Linked DNA regions of Drosophila melanogaster. The protein of the gene in region 1 purifies or fractionates together with the protein of each later gene. This does not show direct contact. Each region holds a gene or a part of one and is shown in the gene's direction. Other genes may lie near its edges.

Region 1 (7,947 bases):
CTCAGCACTCATCACTCAACGTGACCATGGAGAAGGTGTTAAGGCGATGCAGTCGCCTGCTCCTCCTACTGCTGCTGCCACTTGTCAGCTTGTGTCCAAATGCATTGGCACTCAATCGACAGGCGGATGCTGGCCAGGCTTTGGATATGGCAGCGCAGCTGGCGGATGCGGAAGCCGAAGCCAGGCCGGATTACGATGCCGATTCCCCGGATACGCCGCACATACGCAAGAAGCGACTCATCTGGATTACGGATGATGGCAGATTGGCCCTGCCGCCGGGCACTTCGCTGACATTCGTGCCAACCATTGCCATGCCCCTGGTTCGGCATCCGCCCGAGGGATTCTTCTCCAACCTGACCATCAGTTTTCCCGTCACCAGTGCGTAGACAGCTCTCAATGTCAATGATTAATCAATTAACTCTGATTTTTGTTGCCTCAATCCACAGTTGACTTCGACAAACTGGGCCTGACAGACAACCAAAATCCTCTGGGGGATCTGCCGCCGCTGTTCGCCCGCTCCTTTGGTCACGAGGCAGGCCACATGGTTGGTGAATATGTGGCGAGGTATCTGCATGTCCAGCGCAGGAAGAGGGATCTCAGCGAGCAGCGGAGCAGAAGCAACGAGGATCATCCCTTTAGGATACACGAAGAGGGTCCAAAGTATCCGGAGCTGCCAGCCGGACTGCAGCATATTTTCCATGGCGGAGAGCGGGTTTTGCTCTATGGCGTAGTGGAGGACTTTCTATCCACCTTTGGCATGGATGGCAAGGCCTGTTTGCTGAGAACCATTTGTGAGATGCACTCACGAAGTTTGGAGAAGTTCGGTGTCTTTGGAGAAATGACAAAGCTATTTTTAACGTGAGTAATTTCCTCCTTTCAATCGTGATTCTTTGTTACACAGATCTCTCTTATAGGGTAACCAAATCTCCGTTTTCCGACCTGGTACCCGACTATGTACAAGCCCAGGAGGTGGGCGAGGGAAAGCAAGCACCAGGAGAATGTTTTCCCTACTTCAAGGACTGTCCGAAGAGTATATTTAAGGCCTTGTCCAGCAAGTATAGCAAACCAGCTCCTGCGAGCAAGACGAAAAAGACAAAACCCACAGACAGACCGGTGGGCGAATATCATGAGGAGCAGGTCATTCAACTGCCCACCACTCGGGATCAGGACAACAATGTGTATATGTAGAACAATGACCAACTCCCATGCGAACCCCTATTGTTGACCTCGTCTAGATGTTAGGATTACGATTGAGTTGAGCGCGTCCTCAAAGTCACTTGCTTGTAATTAACGTGTACTAATTAATTTATAATTATTTATTTTATTTACGCATTGTATTTATTGTTAGTCGTAGGCGTTGTTAATTGCTTAGATTTGTATCCATGTTTGTCTAGTGGTCTGTAAATAATTGAAATTGTGGCATAATTCCTTCCTTTCAACAAATGAAAACGTGTCGAATGAATAGAAAATAAATTTCCCTTGAAAGGTGCTTTATAATTGTTTTCATTCAAATAACAACTTACGGCAATAATGGCCAAGATATGTACAACATTGCGTTTTTAGATTTAAACTGGCGCCAAAAACGACAACTGCCTGCATTGCACAGCACTATCAGCAGTTACAAATCAAAGTTTGAAACCAAATTAAAGTGGTTACACTGGCAGCTAGATTTGGGTACTCTCCATGTTTTTGTGAAAGTAATATATGAAGCAAAATAATACTTAACGGTACTTAGTGCTCGGTTTGTAGTTATGTAATTACTTAACTAATTGCTCATTTTAAAGGGAAGATTTAAATTCAAATTTTGTGTATTTATAAGAAGAAGAAAAAGGCACTTCTGACAACTATCGAGAGTAAGACATCGATAGCGTAACGACTTATCGAAGGAACCGTCGGTCGTCAGACCATCTCTAGGTCAGCTTTGTTTTGGTTTTGCAGCGAAAAAAACATCAGCGTCGTGAGTTCTCTTCGCTTATTTACCAAGCCTCCCACAAACAAGCCAGAGCATTACGTGTTGCACAGATGTTTGCGGATCGTCGAGGAAATCAATAAACGAAAGGTGAGTGCTCCTGGGTGGGGGCCAGCTGGCGCTTCAGAACCGCGAAAAGGCGGTGCTGTGAGTCAGGCGATGCGATCGCTGATTGAATTGGATTATCACGATAGGAGCTCCCATCAAATTGCCAGCCGGCATTGTAGTTGTTTACATTGCGCGGACGTGGCGCAATATATTTTTAATCTTCTGCGGCAACCTGCTGATTAAGATACCCCCGAACCGTTTCATTGTATAGATAACTTGGCAGTTGAACTCCGGAGCTGGAAGAGGATGGACACGAACGCTGGGGAGTCGCTGGGAGCATCGCCGCCCTCGAGCAATGAGGCAGCGGCGGGATCACAGTCCCAGAGCGATGCCTCCGAGGAGGAGGAGTATCTGGACAACAGTATCGAACTGAGGGGCTATCTCAGCAAGTGGACGAACTACATCTATGGATGGCAGCCACGCTACATAGTCCTGAAGGATGGTACACTCTCCTACTATAAATCCGAATCGGAGTCGGATTTCGGGTGCCGCGGAGCCATCAGCCTGACCAAGGCCACCATTAAGGTAGGACGGCCGAAAAGAGAGAGGGTGGAGCTCCTTCCCCAAGTGCTTTCAATTGGACTAATAAAAAAGTAATGGGCGTGAGTGTGTGCGCATGTGTTTGCGACACATTAACCAACGATGACCGCGACCTGAGGTCTCCGTTTCCATTCCCAAGCCAATACACCCATTCCCAATCCAATTCCGAGCGACGCAATCAATGCAGCGCAATCAATTAACGTTGGGCGACCAAAATAGACCAAAATTGAAGTCATCAATGTAAGTGGGGTACCCCTCAGACCTAGGCGCTGCTAGAAGGCCTTCTGTTGACAGGAGGGCGTGTTGTTCTAGGAGGGTGTTTCGCCATGAGTGTGTACTTATCTATTTATACTGTAGGAGCTGCCAAAAGCATATACACAATGCTGACTCACTAGAAGCGGCCCTTCCATTCATTCGCCTTGACTTTGCGAACACTGATCTTATTCAAAGATATTGAAGCCTCATTTAGTTCAAAGAATTTTTCCCAACAATCCAAATAATAATTATCACCGATTTAATCGATCATGATTGGATTACTTGGATTACTTTACAGTGAAACCAGCTCACTTGTAGTTTAAGTTACTAATAATTGGATTTATTTGCAAGTGATTCATTTAAAATTTTAATTAATTTTCACAAATTTCTCTTAGTGTTTTGACTCATTCAGGTTCCACTGTAATTTCCATTTGCCAACAATAATCTTGTATTCGGGTGTTTTCCTTGTTGATTTCATGTTTACCACTGATTTGCGTTCCGCTATAATCAACCATTCAAAGTTAATTAGGTTTTTTTTTCGTCGAATTTATTGTATTTCGTTTTAATAACTGGCTTATTACTGGCATGAAATTTTCATTTAAAATATAAGTAAGATAAACCGTTTATTTGTACCTATTTTGTGCCTTTTACTAAGTTCAAGTTTATTTTTCTTTTGTAGGCCCATGAGTCCGACGAGCTCCGATTCGATGTTGTGGTGAACAACTTAAATAACTGGTGCCTGCGGGCAGAGACCAGCGAGGACCGCATGCACTGGGTGGATGTGCTGCAGCTGTACAAGGCGGACTCCGGCAGCACGGACACCACTTCCTTGCGCCGCCATGGCAGTACCATGAGCCTGCAATCGAACACTATCTCGCTGACCAGCGGAGGAAGCCTAAAGAAGACGCAGCGCAACCTGCGCGAAAAAGTCGGCGAGCTGGAGACCTTTAAGGATATACTATTTGGACAGATCGAGACTCTGCAGCGATACTTTGATGCCTGCTCGGAGGTGAACAAAAACAATGCGCAACCACTGGACCTGGGCGACGGTCTGAAGTCCATCGATTTCAAGGTAAAGTAGTGCACTTATCGGGCCATTGGTATATGTACAGTGTACTAAGCAAAACACTCGATTTTCTCAGGGCGAATCCATCACGTTTCGGGCCACAACGTCCGGCGTGCTAACCACCCTGCAGCATTGCCTAGAAATCATCGCCGAGAGCGATGAGTCATGGAAACGGAAACTGGAGCGTGAAATAGATAAGCGTCGACGTTCTGAGGACCAAAGCAAGTAGGTTGACCTAGTCGGAATAGATTCCTACAAGAAGAAGCAATTTCAATTACCTTTTTTGTATTTGCTTGAAAACCATACGTTTCTTTAAAAATTATCATGCTATTTCATGGTTTAATTTATTTAAAAAAGGATTAATAATGTATTTAAATTTAATGTGTACATTCATTTCTGAAGTTTATTCATTTAAACGATATTAAAACTATGGTAAAATTCTATGTTTCTTCTTTGCAGAAAGCTCAAGGATGAAGTTGAGAAAATGAAGCGTCTATCGTATCCTGGCCCAGATTTCGAGGTGAGTTCAAGTTTACAGCTCTCGTAAAAGCAAAAGCGTAATCGCATTCACGGTCATTGCTGCTCAAATCGGGGCCAAACACGTTCCCACTGAAAATGCAAACAATCGCCGAATGAGTGGCGCGAAATTCGTATAAACGATTTGCGTGCGATTTGTCGGCGTCTTAAAATAAACTGCCTGATTCGACGTTGTGTCAGAGATTTCATCATATGCAAGGAAAGTAGAACACGCTGGACTATTATTCAAGCGTTTTCAATTCGATTATGGAATGCCAGTATTTGGTTCCGAATTTTGGCTGACACGAAGTTCCCGTGTTCGTGTTAATCTGGAATTGGTCATGCAATATCGTTTTTCCGCTTACATTTGTTTGCCCAATCAATTCCATTTTAATGGCATATGTCCACAATAGCATTAGAAAAATGATGCTCTCCTACGAATTGTAAGTGCTCAACTTGGTTGTTATTCTTGGCTCGGTTACTTGGCGACTACTCAGGCTGAAAGACTGGGCGTCTAGACGGTTTCATTAGGCCTGTTTGACAGTTGGGCGTAGCTTAAGATCTACTTCGAGCCAATATTGCAGATATTGACGTTGAATAACGATCCAACCGTTGGCTAGAATGCACTTTGTGCAACGGGTATATTAACTATTACGTCTTCAGTGATCTTCATATGAAAATTTTGTTAGAAAATCCCGATTTAAGTGAACAATATATAGTAAACATGTACGTGATCTTTCACTATACGTTCAAGCTTAGAGCATTCAATATGCGGCTCACTTTTTGAGCTGTGGCTTTTAGCCTGGCTTACAGCTGTCAGGTTTATGGCTTATGAGCTAGGCTGGTCAGTCGGCGGTTAGCGATCGAGTGGCCAACACGTAGCAATTATAAACAAATTTGCTAGGCAAACAATTCAAAACGAGACTGTTTCTTTTTCATATTGGTCGTGGCATTTAATTGAGTGTGCAGATTGTGAAATTTCTTGCGTTGCATTGAAAGAGCTATAATAAATAAACAAGTGTACACAATTGTAGCAATCGCTAGTTCATGTTGCAAATATAAAAGCGCCGCACGCATCACTGTACAAATATACAAATTTATAAAATTATAAACAACGTCAACGCTATGCCCTCGGCGCGATTTCTGTGGCGCTCCGGCGGATTTCAGAAGGGCAGCGTTAAAAAAATAAAGGTACACTGAATTAAAATCATAAATAATTTACATAAAGGAGTGGTGGAATATATTTTTATAATATGTGTTTCGTATGGAAATATTTCAAGGCGTATTATCACTTTTATAAACAATAAACGTTTCAATATATCTCCAAATAAAATTTGATAACACTTTTAGTAATTTTGAATTTTTTTTCTATGTGCATATATAGCTGATAAAAAATATTAACAAACATCGTTGTGTTTTTGAAAAATTTCTAATCAGCTATGAATGTGGAATGTCAAATATTTTTTTATTATGATAAAAGTATTAGTTCGGAAGCATTGCTTTGATAAAATAATGGTATTTTTCCTTAGTGTATGAAATGTTGCCTAAAATAAGTTTCATAAAATGTTGATGTTGGTTTTTTCTAACCAAATTGGCCTCATTAGTGGGCCACCCCACTCGCTTTTGAATGTTGAATGTTTGAAGTGCGGTGGCCAAAGAACCCCAAGAATTGATTTATTATTTAAATGCAAGAAATCCTATCCATTGGAGCTTTTTGCTCTGTGCGCTTTTCGCTTTTTACTCTCAGTCGCCCGCTTTCTCCTGCTCTCTTTTTTTGGCCTTCTCTCTGCTCCGCTCATCCTGGCCAAGTTGGCCAGTGCGTTTGGGCCACCAGCAACAGTTTGTTTTGTGTCCTTGTGCTCGACGGAAGGATTCGCCAGGACACAAGTGCGCTCACTTTTCCTGCTTTCGCCTGCCACGCAACCCTTTCTCTCTCTCTCTTTGGCTCTCTTGCGGTGCGATTCCTGATTTTTTCCTGCTGAGAAGGAGCCTAATTTTTGCCGCCCAAAAACCTCTTCGCTTTTGTTGGGTTCAACTGCAACAATTGGTGGAGGAGCCTGGTAAGAGGAGACATAGCGACGCCACAGGAATAAGTACGCATATAGCCCATGTCTTCATTGTTGGTTAGCTGCGAGTGCCGCTTGGTCAAGATGATTATGCACTCGAATTCACGCCGCAGGGTGTATTTATTTCACCGCCTTTGGCTGCGCACATCTCTGCTTTAATTAATAAATATCAATTCAATTCCGCACAAATTCCATTCGAGGCATTTATTTTGCGCCGGTTGCCGTTCTGGGGATACACGCGCCAGTCGCAGACGTCAGAATGTGTACAGTGAACACTGGCTAGCACAGAATGGAGCGGATGTATACCTCTAAAGGGCCGAACTTCAAGGGACACTTTTCCTATATATCAATCCTAATTTCAGCATAATATTCTAAATACTCTCAAAATATTATGATTTTGTTTGTATATTACAGTAGCAATTTGGTAAACTCTGTTGCGAAATTCGAAACACATTGTTAGGAGGAAAAGAATTTTATAAATGGCAAATTTATCAACTTAATTAAATTTCGGCAGTATTATTGTGTAGCTTATTGGTGGTTTTTCCCCACGAGATGCCACTGCTTTAATGGGATTCAGTACCAAGTACCAAGCCCCGTCTGGCGGTCTTCTGCTTTCGTATTCATGGCACAATGATGCGCCTTTGTGTCCATTATGCTCGCCCAATTACGCATGCCAGCCGACTACGAGAATCTCCGCCTGGCGACTGGTCAGGGTATGGAATGGGCGAAAAAACAACAGCATAAATTTGATTTTCTTGGGCCATTTGGCCGCACAAGTGTCGGCGATTAATTTATACAAAGCACGTTCCATTTCTTTCCAATTGGATTGAATGCGGTTTCGTCATTAAAATTAATTAGGCCGAACCTTCAAAGATGCTTTTGGGCTAAACTTGACTTAGTTTGCTCGATGCTAATGGAGATATATGTATAATATGACATTTCCCTTTCAATTTCGCAGGAGGGTCCACATTCCACATTGCCCGAGGATGAGTTCTTCGATGCGGTCGAAACGGGCCTGGACAAAATCGAGGAGGACATGCAGCTGCGCTTCAAGCTTAAGCTGCAGTCCCAGATCTCCCAGACACTGGTCAACGTTCCACACGAGGCGGTGGCCGAGGGCGAGGAGGCGCGCGAGGAGTTCGGCACGGGTGCGGAGGCCACCAGCCATGCCCTGTGGCCGGAGGTAAGACCGGAAATTGCCAATCTGGCCCCCTAACGACCAGCCAATAATTGGATTTATCCCGCAGATCGATCGCGTGTGCAAGGAGCAACTGCATTACGCACGCGAGGGCGTTGGCCAAGACGGCAACGGCTGGCAAATCTTTGCCGACGAGGGGGAGATCAAAATGTACAAACGCGAGGAGGAGGTCAACGGGCTGGTCATGGATCCCTTGAAGGCCTATCATACGGTGCAGGGCGTGACGGCG
Region 2 (4,865 bases), on another chromosome or scaffold:
CGAGATGGCCTTAAAGCTGGCCATCAAGAAAGTCCACATGCAGTTCAACACCGTGCACAAGCGGGTGGTGTCTGGAAAACAGAAACCTCAATCGCTGGCTTTCAGTATATACAAATTGTGTTGCTTCTTGAACGCTAGCAACGATGAAGAAGGGGCTACGAATAACGAAAAAATTAAGGCAAGATATTTGAATTAATTCAAATTGAAATTGTTAACAAGCATACTTTGCCCGCAGCTTGATTTCTCCAAGAAAAACAAGCTGACTACCGACCTGATAGAGATGTACGCAAACTTTCCGCAGCTATACGACTCCAACCACAAGGAGTTCTCCAATATGAGCTCTCGAAAACAGGCATACGAGAGCATGGCTGCGGAAATCTCAGTGCCCAATGTGGACATCAACAGCGATGACATATTCCGCGCCATCCAGAATCTCCGCCAATGGTACTACAAGAACACTAAGCATGCCATTTATGCCGGAAGTACAGCCGAGAAGTTCTACCTAGAGGTGTGTCGGTTCATGCCTGCAAAGATGTACAAGCAGCGGCTGGTCTGCGAATTTTGCCACCAGATTACGTCCTCGGATCATGTCCTGCAGTCGCACATCTTCAAGGCGCACAACATCGGCGAGCTGCCCTTCAAATGCACCTTGTGCGACCGAAGTTTTGTGGGACGTTGCGAGCTGGCTAATCACATACAGCGGGTCCATATCGGCAAGACCCACAAGTGCACCCATTGTGAGCGTTCATTCGCTGTGATGTCGGACCTGCAGCTGCACATCCGTACGCACACTGGCCACAAGCCTTACGTCTGCGAGCATTGCGGCAAGGCCTTCCGACTGCGGTCCCAAATGACGCTCCACGTCACGGCTATTCACACGAAGATCAGAGCCTTCAAGTGCACCATGTGTCCCAAAGACTTTGTGAAAAAGGTCGACTTATCGGATCACATCAAGGGCCATTTAAACATCCGCGACAAAATCTGCAGTGTGTGCGGTAAGGGATTCACCAGCTGCCATGCACTCATCCGACACCGGCAGATTCACTCCGAGGTGAAGAAGTTTGTGTGCAAACTCTGCGACTCCAGGTTCTCCCAGTTTGTGGGTCTTAATACGCACATGAAGCGCACCCACAACATTCTTCGTAATAATTCACAAAAGGGTAAAGATGCTGTGGATGCAGAGAACTGAATTTGATTAAATTTGCAATAAAATGACAGTTTATAAATAGGCAATCTTTTGCAAATGGGGGGAAATAAAAATACACAAATGAGAGTGAAACAATATGTTTAAACAAATTTATTTATATAACGGTTTAAGAATGTATATTAATAATTAAGAATATAAATTCTACATTATCTGGCCATGTCCATCTGTCGAAATCTGGGGATGTACATCTAAAAGCCTAAACACATTCCCCTGCCTACGCTGCGCTATTTTTTCCAAAATGTTGGCACGCCCACAAGGCGCCGACAACTGTAACGCCCATACATTTGAAAAACGTTTTGGTGTTTTCCTGTTCATATTTGTCTCGCTATTTTCTATCGATATGACAAAAAAAATATAATTTCTCAACAAATAAGCTTGATTGATTTTGATTTTTCCAAATGGTTAGTACTAGAATTTTATAACATTTTTTTTCGAAAATTGAAATGTACTAGTTACTTTAAAGATTCATTCATGAAATGCAGATTTTTAATCATTTTTAAGCACCACCAACAGTTGTTAAAACGTTTTCTTTTAAGCCTTCATAAAATTGTGTTTAAATATTATTTTAAAAATAGATTTTTATCGAATAGTCTATCGATACATAATTATTTCAGTCGTTGTCCAACACAGTCCCAAACGCATAAAAAAATTGTTACCTTAAATAAACGAATATATTTTCAGAAAAGGAACATTTTTCAAGCTGAAGTCAGATCAGAGCGCACAACGTAAGCATGGAGCTGTGCGGCAATGTGATGACCAACTCCAAGTACGAGATGTTCCGGCTGAAATGCCTCTACTGCAGCATAGAGAGCGAGCTGAAGGATTGGGAGCTGTTCATCGTCCATGTGAAATCGGCGCACTACTGCGAAGACGAGGACGTTAGGATTAATGAAATCAAAGAGGATACCGAGGAGCTATACAGCGTCGTTGACGCGGCGGACCCAGCCATCGCCTATGGGCCGGATGAGTTCTTCGAGGTGATCGAAAACAGCAATGGGGTCGATCAATGGATGGAAGCTGATAGCAAGGTAAGACTCTTTCACTCGCTTACCAAGGGTGGTCAAATAAGTGAGCTCTCGTTGACCGCAGGATATCCAGTACGAGGAAGACGCCACCGCTTGGTCTGCAGCTACAAACAATTCCTGGGAGTTCGGTCCAGGCGGCAGCTCTTTGGAACTTCCAGCCGGAAAGGAAGTCACACAAATGGACGAGTCTTCCCAAAATCACATACCCCTAAACACAGACGATGATGATGTTGATTGTAGTGACTTCTTTATGTCTGAGGATGACTTGGCACCTCCTAGAAAACCTGGACGTCCGCCCAGGCGAACAAGACCAGGACAGGTTTTCAAGGTTAGTACGTAGTATATTTCACTTAAGCTGAAATTCATTCCACTTAACGGCGTCATTCAGTTCAAAGTTTCGTTTATTCGGAGCAATCCCCGTGTGCTGCATTTGATCCAAGCGTACAAAGAGCATCCCTGCCTGTGGAACCCTTCCGATGAACACTACCAGGACGAGCCTGCACGAAGCATGGCCTACGAGGCGATAATGGAACGCATGGACCGCAAGGCCAATGTTCTCTTCACCGTGGAAGAACTGAAGAAAACGCTCGAGCAACTGCACGTGCAGTACACGCTGGCTTTGGAGACAAAACAAAGGGGAAAGCTTGTTGGACTTGCAGCGCGTTACTTTGCCAAGTGCGAGTTCCTCAGTGTGGCGCCTGTTGTAACGCCAAGGGAGAACGAGGAGGACAACGACTTGACTGCAATTAAGGTAATAACTAGCCCACTATAATGTAGCTCTTTTCTGACCAAAAATCCTTTTTTCAGCTTAATTTTAAGGAGGAAAACCTGATAACCACCTCATTCATAGAGACCTATGCCAACTATCCCGTGCTGTATAATCAAGCGTTGCCAGACTTTGGCTCAATAGAGATACGTGCAGATGCCTTCAAAAGAATGGCAAAGGAATTCCAGCCAGTGGTGAAGGCCAACGAAACGGACGTTTACATTGCGGTCAACAAGCTGCGCCGTTGGCTTTACGATGCCATTCGTCGCCTCAAATCCAAGGAACTAATTCAGAAGTGCAGCAAGCAAGAGGTTCAGTATCTGCAAATGTGCAGCTTCTTGCCCGCCAAGGGTTCCGAAAGTCAGGTGCTGTACTGTGACTACTGCGATAAACGTTTCCACGGCGACTACAACCTACGGGTGCACATCGTCAAGGCGCACGAGGTGGGCGACCTACCGTACCTCTGCTCGTTCTGCCCGAGGCGCTTCGACCGCCACGTAGACATGGACCGTCACAAGCTGCGTTCCCACTTCGAACGCAAGTTGAAGTGCCAGTACTGCGAAAAATCGTTCGCCGTGGATACCGACCTAAAGGTGCACACACTAATCCACACGGGCGAGCGGCCTCACGTCTGTGACATCTGCGGCAAGACATTCCGGCTCAAGCTACTCCTGGACCACCACGTCAACGGAGTTCACCTGAACATTAGACCCTACAGCTGCAATATGTGCACCAAAACCTTCCGCAAGAAGTTCGAGCTGGCCAACCATATCAAAGGACATCTGAATATCCGTGATAAGAAGTGCGAGTACTGTGATGCTACGTTCTATGACCATTCTTCGCTTTCCAGACATCGCCGCAGCCACAGATCGGAATGAACTCTCGCCTTGAGGGACATTTTTAGAAACTGCTTTATTTTTTGATAACGAGAATCAGTAAGCTTCATTTGATGTAAATCAAGAATAAACTTACGTTAGAGTAGTGATAATAACAAGCGTGTTGTTAAGCACTTACGGCTTTTGTGTATTTGATAAGAACATGTGTATGATAATCATATGCACAAGCTTTTCCTTTTTCATACTTTCCTTTTCAAAATTTGGTTTAAGGAATGTATTATTCATAAAAAAAAGAAGAAGCCGGAAAAATAAGTTCGTTTTAAGATAAATTTGTATAACCGTTACTTGTAGAGGAGATATTAGAATAACATATGATTTTTTGGTTCTGGCTCTAGATCTAGAGCTGGCTTGAGGCTCTCCCGAGTTTTTGTTCAAAAGTCAGAGAGCGGAGAGCTCTAGAGCTAGCAGCTCTATTATTATTATTTTTGATCAAATGACGTGTACAAAATTTTATATATATTCATTTTTAACAATGTATTTATATTTCTTTTATGAAATATATTTTTTTAAATGTATTTTCCTTTTTGCCAAATTTATATTTTTAATTACAATAGTTATAATAACGATTTAAGACTTTATTTAGTTTATTAGCTTAAATAATGATGAAAATAATTTTTATACGGTACAAGATACTGCTCATAGACCCTTGTTGAAGTATGTCGTCAGTGCAATTTTAAATATTTTTAATTATAAGCAAAAATAAATAAGCGGTATTTAATTAATAACAACTCTTCTTAAAAGAATAGTCAAGGCATTAAATTTTAAATAACTCTGTAGTAGATCGTATTGCAACAAGCTTTGACCAAAACTTTAAATATGTATGTATGTACCTTCGTTTCTGAGATCAAAATTGATTTCGAGACGAAAGTTTTCTAGCACAAGTATGCTCATATACACTTTCTCGTTTGTTGTTTTAACACACACAAGGAAGTACATTCTATTTTAAGAAATTTACGCTCTCCATTTTACGC
Region 3 (4,550 bases), on another chromosome or scaffold:
CCTAAGCTTTTCGGCAATATCTTTGCCGAGAATGGACAGCATGCAGGCCTTGAAAGTCGACGTGCAAGGTTTTAATTTGTATGCGTATTTATATCGGATCCTCGGAGTAATGTAAAACGCCAGGTAATAGTCAAGGGCACATTCCTGGACATCCTTGCTCGCATAATTAGCATCCAGTTGCCTCATTTGCTCCACAATGTCCGATAAGTTTGCCATATTTTTCTTAAATACCTCGAAGCTGACGATGGAACTGTGAAATATTTATAGTAAACAACGAGTATTTGGAAAGTGTCCCAAACTTACTTTTTCGTAAGGGATTTCATTGCAGTAAGCTCCGCCACAGTCTTGACCGCTTTTTTGTCCAGTGGTTTCCCAGATTCAAGCAACTTTTCCAAAGGGATTTCTGTAGTTGCATTGAAGATATTCGTAGGGGATCGCTTTTCTGGATACATGTAAAAGCGGTTGTAGAACCTTTGTAGTGTAAGAAGACGACGCTCATCGTCGGACAAGAGGACCAGGCAGTGTTCTATGCTCCTGACAATTTTTTTGAACAGTAACATCTTATTGATGCACTGTAGGAATACATCAAAGGATACCGGAAAGATGAAGGCGCCACATCTGAAATGAGTCAAAATTGGTTAATCTGCTCTGCTCGAAAATAATATTACCCACCTCTCCACATTAACAATTACGTCTGGAGATTCCGATCCTGATGGTTTACATTCAACTGCAACGCCTTCAACTGCATCATGGGACTTCGCGGTTTCAGCGAGCGTCGTCAACTGGCTGCCTTCAACTAAGACTTCGGGTTGCTCTACTTGAGATGGTCCTGCAGCTGCTACGTTTGCAACATCGTTTTGTGAAATTCCTCCTGGCTCCGGTACTTTAAGCAAGTTGTCGCGTGTCCGCCTGGGACACGGCGCCACCTTGACAGGGAACCTTGCCCGTATGCTGGGATTCCGGTAGAACTCTTTGTAGTACCATCTGCTCCACTCGACCAACGTTCTATTGTCTCCATTGGCAGTTTTCAACTCACTTGCAATTTCAGACAAATTAACGATTAACTTTTGAAATGCCGCAAAGGACACTGGATACATGTTGCTCCTGAAATCAAACAATATTTAATGTTAAGATGTAAAAGATTCACAGTAACCTTACGACTTGTTCTATGCAAGTAACGTTATTTGTTGTTTATCATAAACATCACATTTCAATACCGCGAAATAAACTAGGCTGAATATCACAGTGTGACTGTGCTGCAAAATGACAATATTTATCGATAGCGAACGACTAAATATTTTCACTACGAGAACTCGAACTTACTTAAAATTTTACAAGCCAGTTAATACTTTTGTGCTTTATTGTTTATTGTTTATTTATTTATTGTGCTGATTTAAACAGGGTTATAATTTCATAGCTAGCTAATTTTACATGTTATGATTTTCCAAATGACTCCAAATTTGTAAGGTGTGCTAGGTATAGTAGGTGGTATATTCCAGCGGTCGCCGCACGGTCACACTCGAGCTGCGATTCGGAGGGCTAGAAAATCATCGATGTTTACGTACATCGATAGTTGGCAGGGCTTTGCTTTGTTTTGCAAATTCCAAGCGGAGTTGAGGCTGTGACAGATTGCGGGTGCGAGTTGTGAAGCAACATTGCGTCATCATCAGCTCCTGGACAGAAAAGAGCTCAGGGAACGAGGCAGGTCCGCGCCCGGGGACAAGGAAAGCCTTTAGCCACGAGGACGCAGAGGGATCAAAGGCGGAGGAGGAGGCGGTGGCCGTGTCACGGGAGCTGGATCAAATGGCCAGCACCACTGGAAGTGCCCCCAGCCTGGGACCCCCCCAGAGCGGGAGTGGTGGCTCTGGCACATTGGAGGGCACGCTAAGCAAGTGGACGAATGTGATGAAGGGCTGGCAGTACCGCTTCTTCGTTCTGGACGAGAATGCTGGACTGCTGTCCTATTACACGGTGAGTGGCTGCAGTGCACCTCCTGACTGAAACCCATATCGCACCCAGAACGAACTCCTCATGGCCCGCAGCCTTATCTTATCTGCTATAGATACATTTGGATACACATACACACTTGTTGGTACCCCTTTATTGCGTGATTTGTTGACAGGAGATTACTTTTTTGAGTCTGACTGAGGGGTCTGACTCTTGCGCCGCTGCGAGGCTTGATAGGCACTATTATAGAAGTCGTAAAAGCCGTAGAACATGCCAAGAATGACGGTGGTGAAGTAGAGAAGCACTAAGGGCGGCATGCCGCACAATACCAGCTGGAAAGCAACCTGCGTGAGGATAAGAACGAACTGCGTCATCTGAATCACTGTGATGCACTTCTTCACTGGAGTTAGGGCCTGCACCAAGGTCTTATCCGCCACTGCCGCCACAAAGTAGTACGAGTACATGATAACGTGAACGATAGAATTCAAGAACACGCAGAAGTAAGCAGCAGAACCTGTACAATTGAACGCATTTATGAAAATAGTCGGTCACCCAGCAGCCGGCTAGCTTACCATTTTCGTTGAAGTTGATCAGTGCGTAGACCAGCGTTACCGTGGAGAAGTGATGAAAGATGTGCAGCTTGGACACCTGGTTTTGTTTCTTGCGAAGCACAAAGATCACGGTTTCAATCAGCTCAGAGATCTTCAGCCAGAAGAGAAAGTAGGCCAAGTTGTAGTACCGCCTCACGAGCTCTGGGCTGCTCCCGATGTCGCGGCACTTCCAAAAGATGTATATGGTGTTGTCCGTAATGTACAGGACCTGCGAGAGAAAAGCAATTAGCCGATGCTGCTGCTGCTGTACAATTTATAAATATCCACCTCTTTGATAGCATATATGCAGGAAACCACCTGGATGAAATTATGTAGCAAGATAAGTCGCTTGAGCTCGTAAGGTTTGCGCCATTCCATGAAACTATAAGCGAGGTATTAAAGGTCTTCTTTCTTATATAAGTAAGCCAGCGAACCCGCTGAATTGCTAATGTCAAGTCCACTGACCCACATGCAAACAAGCGACGCTGACATTAGCATGTGAACTTACTGCGGACCCGCTTTGGTGACGAAGTACAGATAGAGGACCAGCACTGTGATCATGTACCAGGGATCCTTATAAATCGTAGGAACGTTCACCACCGGCTGCAAATTTATACCTACAATTTTATTGAAACCATCAGACAGTTTTTTGACAAATCCAAGAGGAGCTCACTTGCTGACGCCTCCATTTCGCTTCTTTGTGTTGAGCTTCCGCTGGCCTGTATCCTTTAGGTGGCGTGGGACTGGTGGACTGCAGCTCTACCGCCTTGACCGCTGGCGAACATTTAAGCGTGAACAGCACGCCGAACACTGTTTTTATATTCCCCAAGCATTGATTAGAATACATTAATTTATAGCAGGCGTAATAGCCCTTTGACAGTATGAGCTGCGATTTAATGAACTTTCCTAATTCCGACTGCATTTCTGTTACAGTCGAAGGATAAGATGATAAAGGGCGTGAGGCGCGGTTGTGTTCGTTTAAAGGATGCGCTAATCGGAATCGACGACCAGGAGGACAACACATTCACAATCACTGTGGACCATAAGACCTTCCACTTTCAGGTAAGTGTCTCCTTAGTAAATGGAAATAAAGATTGTCTAAGGAAAGCTTGATCAATGTTTTGCAGTTTCACTAATAGTTCATAATTCACCGTAATAGTTTAAGTACGACGTTGTTTGTTTTATGAACTGAAGAACCAACTCATTTTAAATTCCACACTTGCATTGATTTTTTATGACGTCTAGTGGTATACGTAAGCAAAAACTATGTAGATCAAGAGGGCAGCACGTTTCTTTTTGCAATTCGCGTTTTCGTCCCAAAAGATATAAAGCAAGCATGATGGCCTATCCGCTTTGCTTGCCAAGAGTTTTCGTCCTCTTACCGGAAAAGGGTATCCGGGCATCGACCCAGAAACCACTGTCTGGTCCTCACGTTCCACCTTTTGTTTGACTTTGTTGCCTTGATGTAACGATAAAACTTTTTCCAATACCCATACACAAGCAAAGGAGCCCACTAAACTTGCCAACTTTCCAAACGCTTGCAGGCGCGACACAACGAGGAGCGGGAGCAGTGGGTGCGCCGCCTGGAGGACACCATTCGACGCCACGCGAACCGGTCGCGTCTGTGGGACAGCCAAAGCGCTTTCTACATCGCCGGTGGCTACACGAAGGAAGGGGGCGGGAGCGGAACAGGCGGCAGAAGACCCAACCACCTGGAGTTGGTGGCGCGCCGTGTTTCCGAGGCAGATGCCTACCTCCAGCTGATGATTGAGCAAACGAACGTGAGTATTGTGCCACGTAATGCAGGCATTATGCAATTTATTGTCATTTTTTCTTGTTCTCTGTCCTGCCCAGTTACTGGACAAACGCATCGCGGAGCTGACCGATCCGGCGGAGCAGTCTAAGTGCAAGGCACTCCAGGACAACGCAAATGTAAGTAAGCAGAGGTTACACGTTTCCCTCGGACTCAGTAACTACAACCTCCAGGTGGAGTTCGTCACGAAAGTTGTTTGA
Region 4 (4,362 bases), on another chromosome or scaffold:
CACTCTATATAACATGGATATATCATACTGTAACATTAAGTTCAACAAACAGGCTGATCGATCGCAGATATGTGCTGGCAGTCATACCAGTAACACCTGTAAGGGCGATTCTGGAGGCCCATTGAGCTCGAAATTTCATTATGGCAACAGGCTTCTGAGTTTCCAGTACGGCTTGGTCAGCTACGGATCCGAAAGGTGCGCGGCTAATGTGGCAGGTGTTTACACCAATGTATCGTACCACAGGGAATGGATATTTAATAAAATGGTTCAATTCAAACCTACAGGTCATACTACCTTTTGGTTATCCAAGCTCGTAGGCCAAACTTGTAACATAACAGACATAATAAGGAATATAGAACTAATGTATAACAGAATTGTATATGAAAATTAATTAATATTCGACAAAATGGCAGGGCAACGCATCGAAGTTCGAAATATATTAAAGTTCAAGAGATTTAATTAAAAAAAAAAAATCTTGTCATTAATTGAAAATAAACGATGTCACATTCAAATCGATTGTAAAAATTGTATTAGTATTTTTTCTGAATAAATCACTTCTTATCTCTGCCGTTTGCCGAAGAACAAGCATAAAAATAGAAACCGATGCCATTCGAATTTAGTCTCTGAACAAGATGCGTCTACCTATACGGCAGCTTGTGATAGTAGCCTGTCTTTTTATTGGGATTATCCGGACGGAATCCGGACGCTTACTGGAAAACGACTGTGGAACCACGAGCAGTAATGGTTATAGAGCGCGAATCGATGGAGGTAGAGATGCTGGCATGGAATCGAATCCCTGGATGGTCAGAGTAATGATTTCGGGAAAAGCAGTGTGTGGCGGTTCACTTATAACTGCTCGTAAGTATTTGGAATTGATAATAAGAAATATATACTCAAATTATCATTGTATGTTCATTTAGGATTTGTTTTGACCGCCGAGCATTGCATTTCCCCAATGTATATGTGAGTGCATACCATACTATTACTACACATTTGATCCTCAAAATGACCTTTTTTAAGGAATGTGCGCCTGGGCGAATACGATACCCGACATCCCATATTCGACTGCGATGATTTTGTCTGCACACCAAGGGCCTACAATGTGGACGTGGATAGGAAAATTGTTCATAGTAATCCAGGATATGATATTGGTCTGTTGCGAATGCAAAGGAGTGTGATATTCTCAAGTAAGTGCATTTCGCTATCAAAAGTTTCTTGGGAACTAAATATGTAACTAACTAAAGTTCGCCATAGACTATGTCAGACCAATCTGCTTGATTCTGGGCAAAACGTTGGGTGGGAACCCACTCTCAATATTACGCTTCAATTTCACCGGATGGGGTACAAATAGTGATGGAGAAGAGCAAGATAGGCTACAGACTGCCACCCTGCAACAATTACCTCAATGGAGTTGTGAAAGACCTGGAAGACCTCTCGATATATCCTATATATGTGCCGGCAGTTATATCAGTGATTCGTGCAAAGGCGATTCGGGAGGTCCTTTGAGCGCAATTCGTACATTTGAGGGGCAGGGAAGGGTCTTCCAGTTCGGTGTCGCTAGCCAAGGACTTCGGTTGTGCAGTGGCTTGGGAATTTACACCAATGTCACACACTTTACGGACTGGATATTGGATGTTATTCAAAACCATTCAGACGACTTTGAATGAGATCAAAATATGTTGCTTAATAACAATATAATGTTTTAGCGTATATATTTTGGCTATCAATATCATAGTTTCTTGTTGGTTTTGGTTTTTTTTTTCAGATTGTAGGCTATTTCTACATTTAACATACATATTCCTTACATGAAACATACATTCGAGCAGAATGTATGGTACGGCCGCATCGATGCCGATAACGATAGGTAGCTTAACGCGTCCTACTATCGATGACAGTTTTGTTATTGTTATGATTTGATCAAGCTAAAAAAAAACCGATCAAATATAAATATATATTTATTGATTTCATTGCGCGATTTAAGCATAACCATTTGAAAATGAGCAAGTTCTCGCTCTTCAATGGCAACGATGAGGACGAGCACGAAACGGAGCAGAAATACGCACACCTTATGAGTGGGTAAGCAGCGTCCTCAGCCGGTTCGATGTTACCAAATCCTTACTTTTCGTAACAGATCTGGGAAATGCGAGTCACTCGGTGTCGGAAAATAGTTCTGGGAAAGCGAGTCGCTGCAAGTGGACCAGCGCAAAGGTGGAGACCTTTCTGGAAATCATTCACCAACTTAAACTGCAAGCTGCTCTTCGAAGGCCGCGAAGCAATGCAAAGGTGTTTCGTATGGTGTCCAGAGAAATGGCCCGGCGGAACTGCCCCAAGAGTCCAAAGCATCTGAGAGTCAAGTTCCATCAGATGCGGCGTCAGTATGCGAGAGCTCGGAATGGCGGCGAACCATTCGAGCACTTTGAGGCGGTGCACGAGTTGATGCAGGGAGAAGATGTATCTGATCTGGATGAAGAGGCGCTAGAGAGTGACAGCGATATGGAGGCCGACGAGGACCAGTCCGGCATGATCTCAGAAACCGAAGGGGACGGTAGGTGCCACCGGGCAGGAATGTATTGGAATACGAACTTAGGCGACTTTCCTTCGCAGATGCTTTGGATGCCTCAGGATCTTCAGTTAACATCGTCGCCCGCTGCAAGTGGGCAGAGGGCGAAGTGGACCTCCTCCTAGACCTGATCCACACACTTGGACTGCGAGCAGCTTTGCTGCAAAAGCGCAATGCCAAGGTCTTCAAGCTGCTGTCCAAGGAGATGGCAAAACGCAACTGCCACAAGGGTGCTGAGAAGCTGCGCATCAAGTTCCAGCAGCTGCGGCGATTGTACAACAAGGTCAAGAACGGCACGGGGAAAACGTTCGAGCATTTTGAGGCGATGCGACTGGTCCTGGATCCCACCGAAGAGGAGGCGGCCGCAGATGCTGAAGCGGAAGCCCATCTGAGCAGCGCAAGCGATAGTGATTTCAATGACAGTGACGAGGAAGAGGGTGATGCATCACAGAGAAGCGGAGGTAGATATTATAATAGCTAGTTCCTATTCCATATTTAATTAAATTCCTATGTTCCTTAGCGCACTTTTGGACAGACGAAGAGGTTGATTCGTTTCTACTCATCATTCGGGACAATGGTTTCTTTCGCGCCTTGGATGGCTCAAGGAAGCGCAACTTCCAGACCCTGGTGCACATTTCCAACATCCTGGCTAAGCAGGACATCAAACGCACGCCACACCAGCTGCGCAATAAACTAAGGCTGCTCTGCAAGCGTCATCGAGAGGCCAAGGAGCACGGGCTAGATAATGTACGCATTCTGCCTCGCCACTTTGAGCTTTTCGATGAACTGATTCAGGCGCCGCGGGAGAACAGAGAAAGTGCCATCAGCAGGCTCATTCGCATCAGCAAGCCTTCCTTTCTCAAGCCGCCAGGCAAACCAAGCGTTCCGCTGGAAAGTGACAGCGACAACTCCAGCTCCACCTGCGATCTCCTAAGAGCGGCAGCCGATAGCGAGGACTACGTGGACGCCATCGAGATGGAGGCTGAACCAACGCCGATTGAAGCACTCACTGCAATCATAGAAGGTCAAAAGCAGCTGCTTGCGCAGATCAAAACTACCAACGAAAGCTTCTTGCGGCAGCAACGCGAGCAGCAGCATCAATTTTTGGAACAAGTATCGGAACTGATGCATCGAGATCGAGAGGAGACCCTGCGCAGGATCAGCGAAATGCTGCAACCGAAGTAATGGAAACATAGAACTCAAGCTTCTAAAACTTTTATTGAATTGAATTCGAAGTTATTGCAAAAAGTTGTCATTATTTATATATATTATATGTATGTATTCTATATTCAATATCGTGTGTGTGTGTGTATCCTGTTTTTGTGACAGTGTCCTGTGTCTAGAATTTATTCCTCATTCATTGTGAACAGAATGTTGGTTTGAAGTTACTCGCAATTCGCAATTGTCTACGATTTATCTAGGGTTTTGTATAAGTATATACGTAATTTTGAGAGATTTTTCGTTTTTTATTTGATATGCTACATTGTTATTTTTTGGGATTAAGTTAACAGTTGGATTCGTTTTAGGTTTTAACATTAAGCGAAAATGCTCGTTAGTTTTTAGTTTTTGTTCTGCTTGTGTCATCTGTATACACATATGTATATATTTTGTATATTGTTCGGTTTACAACAACTAAGCAAGCTCGTCATAAAATATGTGTTGCACTCCAAAAAAAAAAACAATGTAATCAATTGGGCATAGAAAACTAAACTGCTGTTGCTGATCTGAACCGATCTGGCTTGATATATATACGTGTATGTTCGTTACGTTACGCTCAGGCACAAAGTGTAAATTACAAATAT

The links.
Region 2: the proteins of cert (region 1) and CG1603 purify together in Drosophila melanogaster (affinity purification with mass spectrometry, with the first as the bait; one large-scale study listed by BioGRID). This does not show direct contact.
Region 3: the proteins of cert (region 1) and CG1513 purify together in Drosophila melanogaster (affinity purification with mass spectrometry, with the first as the bait; one large-scale study listed by BioGRID). This does not show direct contact.
Region 4: the proteins of cert (region 1) and CG10494 purify together in Drosophila melanogaster (affinity purification with mass spectrometry, with the first as the bait; one large-scale study listed by BioGRID). This does not show direct contact.

What each region holds. Positions count from the first base shown.
Region 1 is NT_037436.4:8,283,825-8,291,771, reverse strand, and holds the start of cert (ceramide transfer protein), read left to right. Parts: upstream 1-1,901; 5' UTR 1,902-2,059; intron 2,060-2,288; 5' UTR 2,289-2,323; coding exon 2,324-2,602; intron 2,603-3,551; coding exon 3,552-3,944; intron 3,945-4,014; coding exon 4,015-4,163; intron 4,164-4,397; coding exon 4,398-4,458; intron 4,459-5,302; exon of another isoform or gene 5,303-5,579; coding exon of another isoform or gene 5,580-5,645; intron 5,646-7,478; coding exon 7,479-7,703; intron 7,704-7,767; coding exon 7,768-7,947. Other genes in the region: CG7201 (uncharacterized protein), read left to right, coding at 27-378, 447-858, 915-1,188.
Region 2 is NT_033778.4:7,513,338-7,518,202, reverse strand, and holds CG1603 (uncharacterized protein), read left to right. Parts: upstream 1-1,812; 5' UTR 1,813-1,938; coding exon 1,939-2,235; intron 2,236-2,296; coding exon 2,297-2,560; intron 2,561-2,620; coding exon 2,621-2,983; intron 2,984-3,039; coding exon 3,040-3,876; 3' UTR 3,877-4,357; downstream 4,358-4,865. Other genes in the region: CG1602 (uncharacterized protein), read left to right, coding at 1-178, 236-1,189. UniProt on the Drosophila melanogaster protein: Chromatin-binding protein involved in the organization of active promoters and insulators. Essential for the activity of heterochromatin promoters; primarily binds to specific motifs within promoters of housekeeping genes.
Region 3 is NT_033778.4:9,888,656-9,893,205, reverse strand, and holds the start of CG1513 (uncharacterized protein), read left to right. Parts: upstream 1-1,516; 5' UTR 1,517-1,803; coding exon 1,804-1,971; intron 1,972-2,064; exon of another isoform or gene 2,065-2,126; coding exon of another isoform or gene 2,127-2,461; intron 2,462-2,519; coding exon of another isoform or gene 2,520-2,766; intron 2,767-2,825; coding exon of another isoform or gene 2,826-2,919; intron 2,920-3,045; coding exon of another isoform or gene 3,046-3,154; intron 3,155-3,210; coding exon of another isoform or gene 3,211-3,226; exon of another isoform or gene 3,227-3,328; intron 3,329-3,470; coding exon 3,471-3,599; intron 3,600-3,720; exon of another isoform or gene 3,721-4,081; coding exon 4,082-4,318; exon of another isoform or gene 4,319-4,391; coding exon 4,392-4,469; exon of another isoform or gene 4,470-4,484; coding exon of another isoform or gene 4,485-4,550. Other genes in the region: tea (telomere ends associated), read right to left, coding at 1-250, 304-618, 673-1,097; CG30008 (uncharacterized protein), read right to left, coding at 2,127-2,461, 2,520-2,766, 2,826-2,919, 3,046-3,154, 3,211-3,226; CG12923 (uncharacterized protein), read right to left, coding at 4,485-4,550.
Region 4 is NT_033778.4:21,516,640-21,521,001, reverse strand, and holds CG10494 (uncharacterized protein), read left to right. Parts: upstream 1-1,876; 5' UTR 1,877-1,996; coding exon 1,997-2,072; exon of another isoform or gene 2,073-2,076; intron 2,077-2,131; coding exon 2,132-2,545; intron 2,546-2,604; coding exon 2,605-3,021; intron 3,022-3,080; coding exon 3,081-3,745; 3' UTR 3,746-3,847; downstream 3,848-4,362. Other genes in the region: CG30289 (uncharacterized protein), read left to right, coding at 1-391; CG30288 (uncharacterized protein), read left to right, coding at 633-858, 921-963, 1,021-1,187, 1,255-1,667.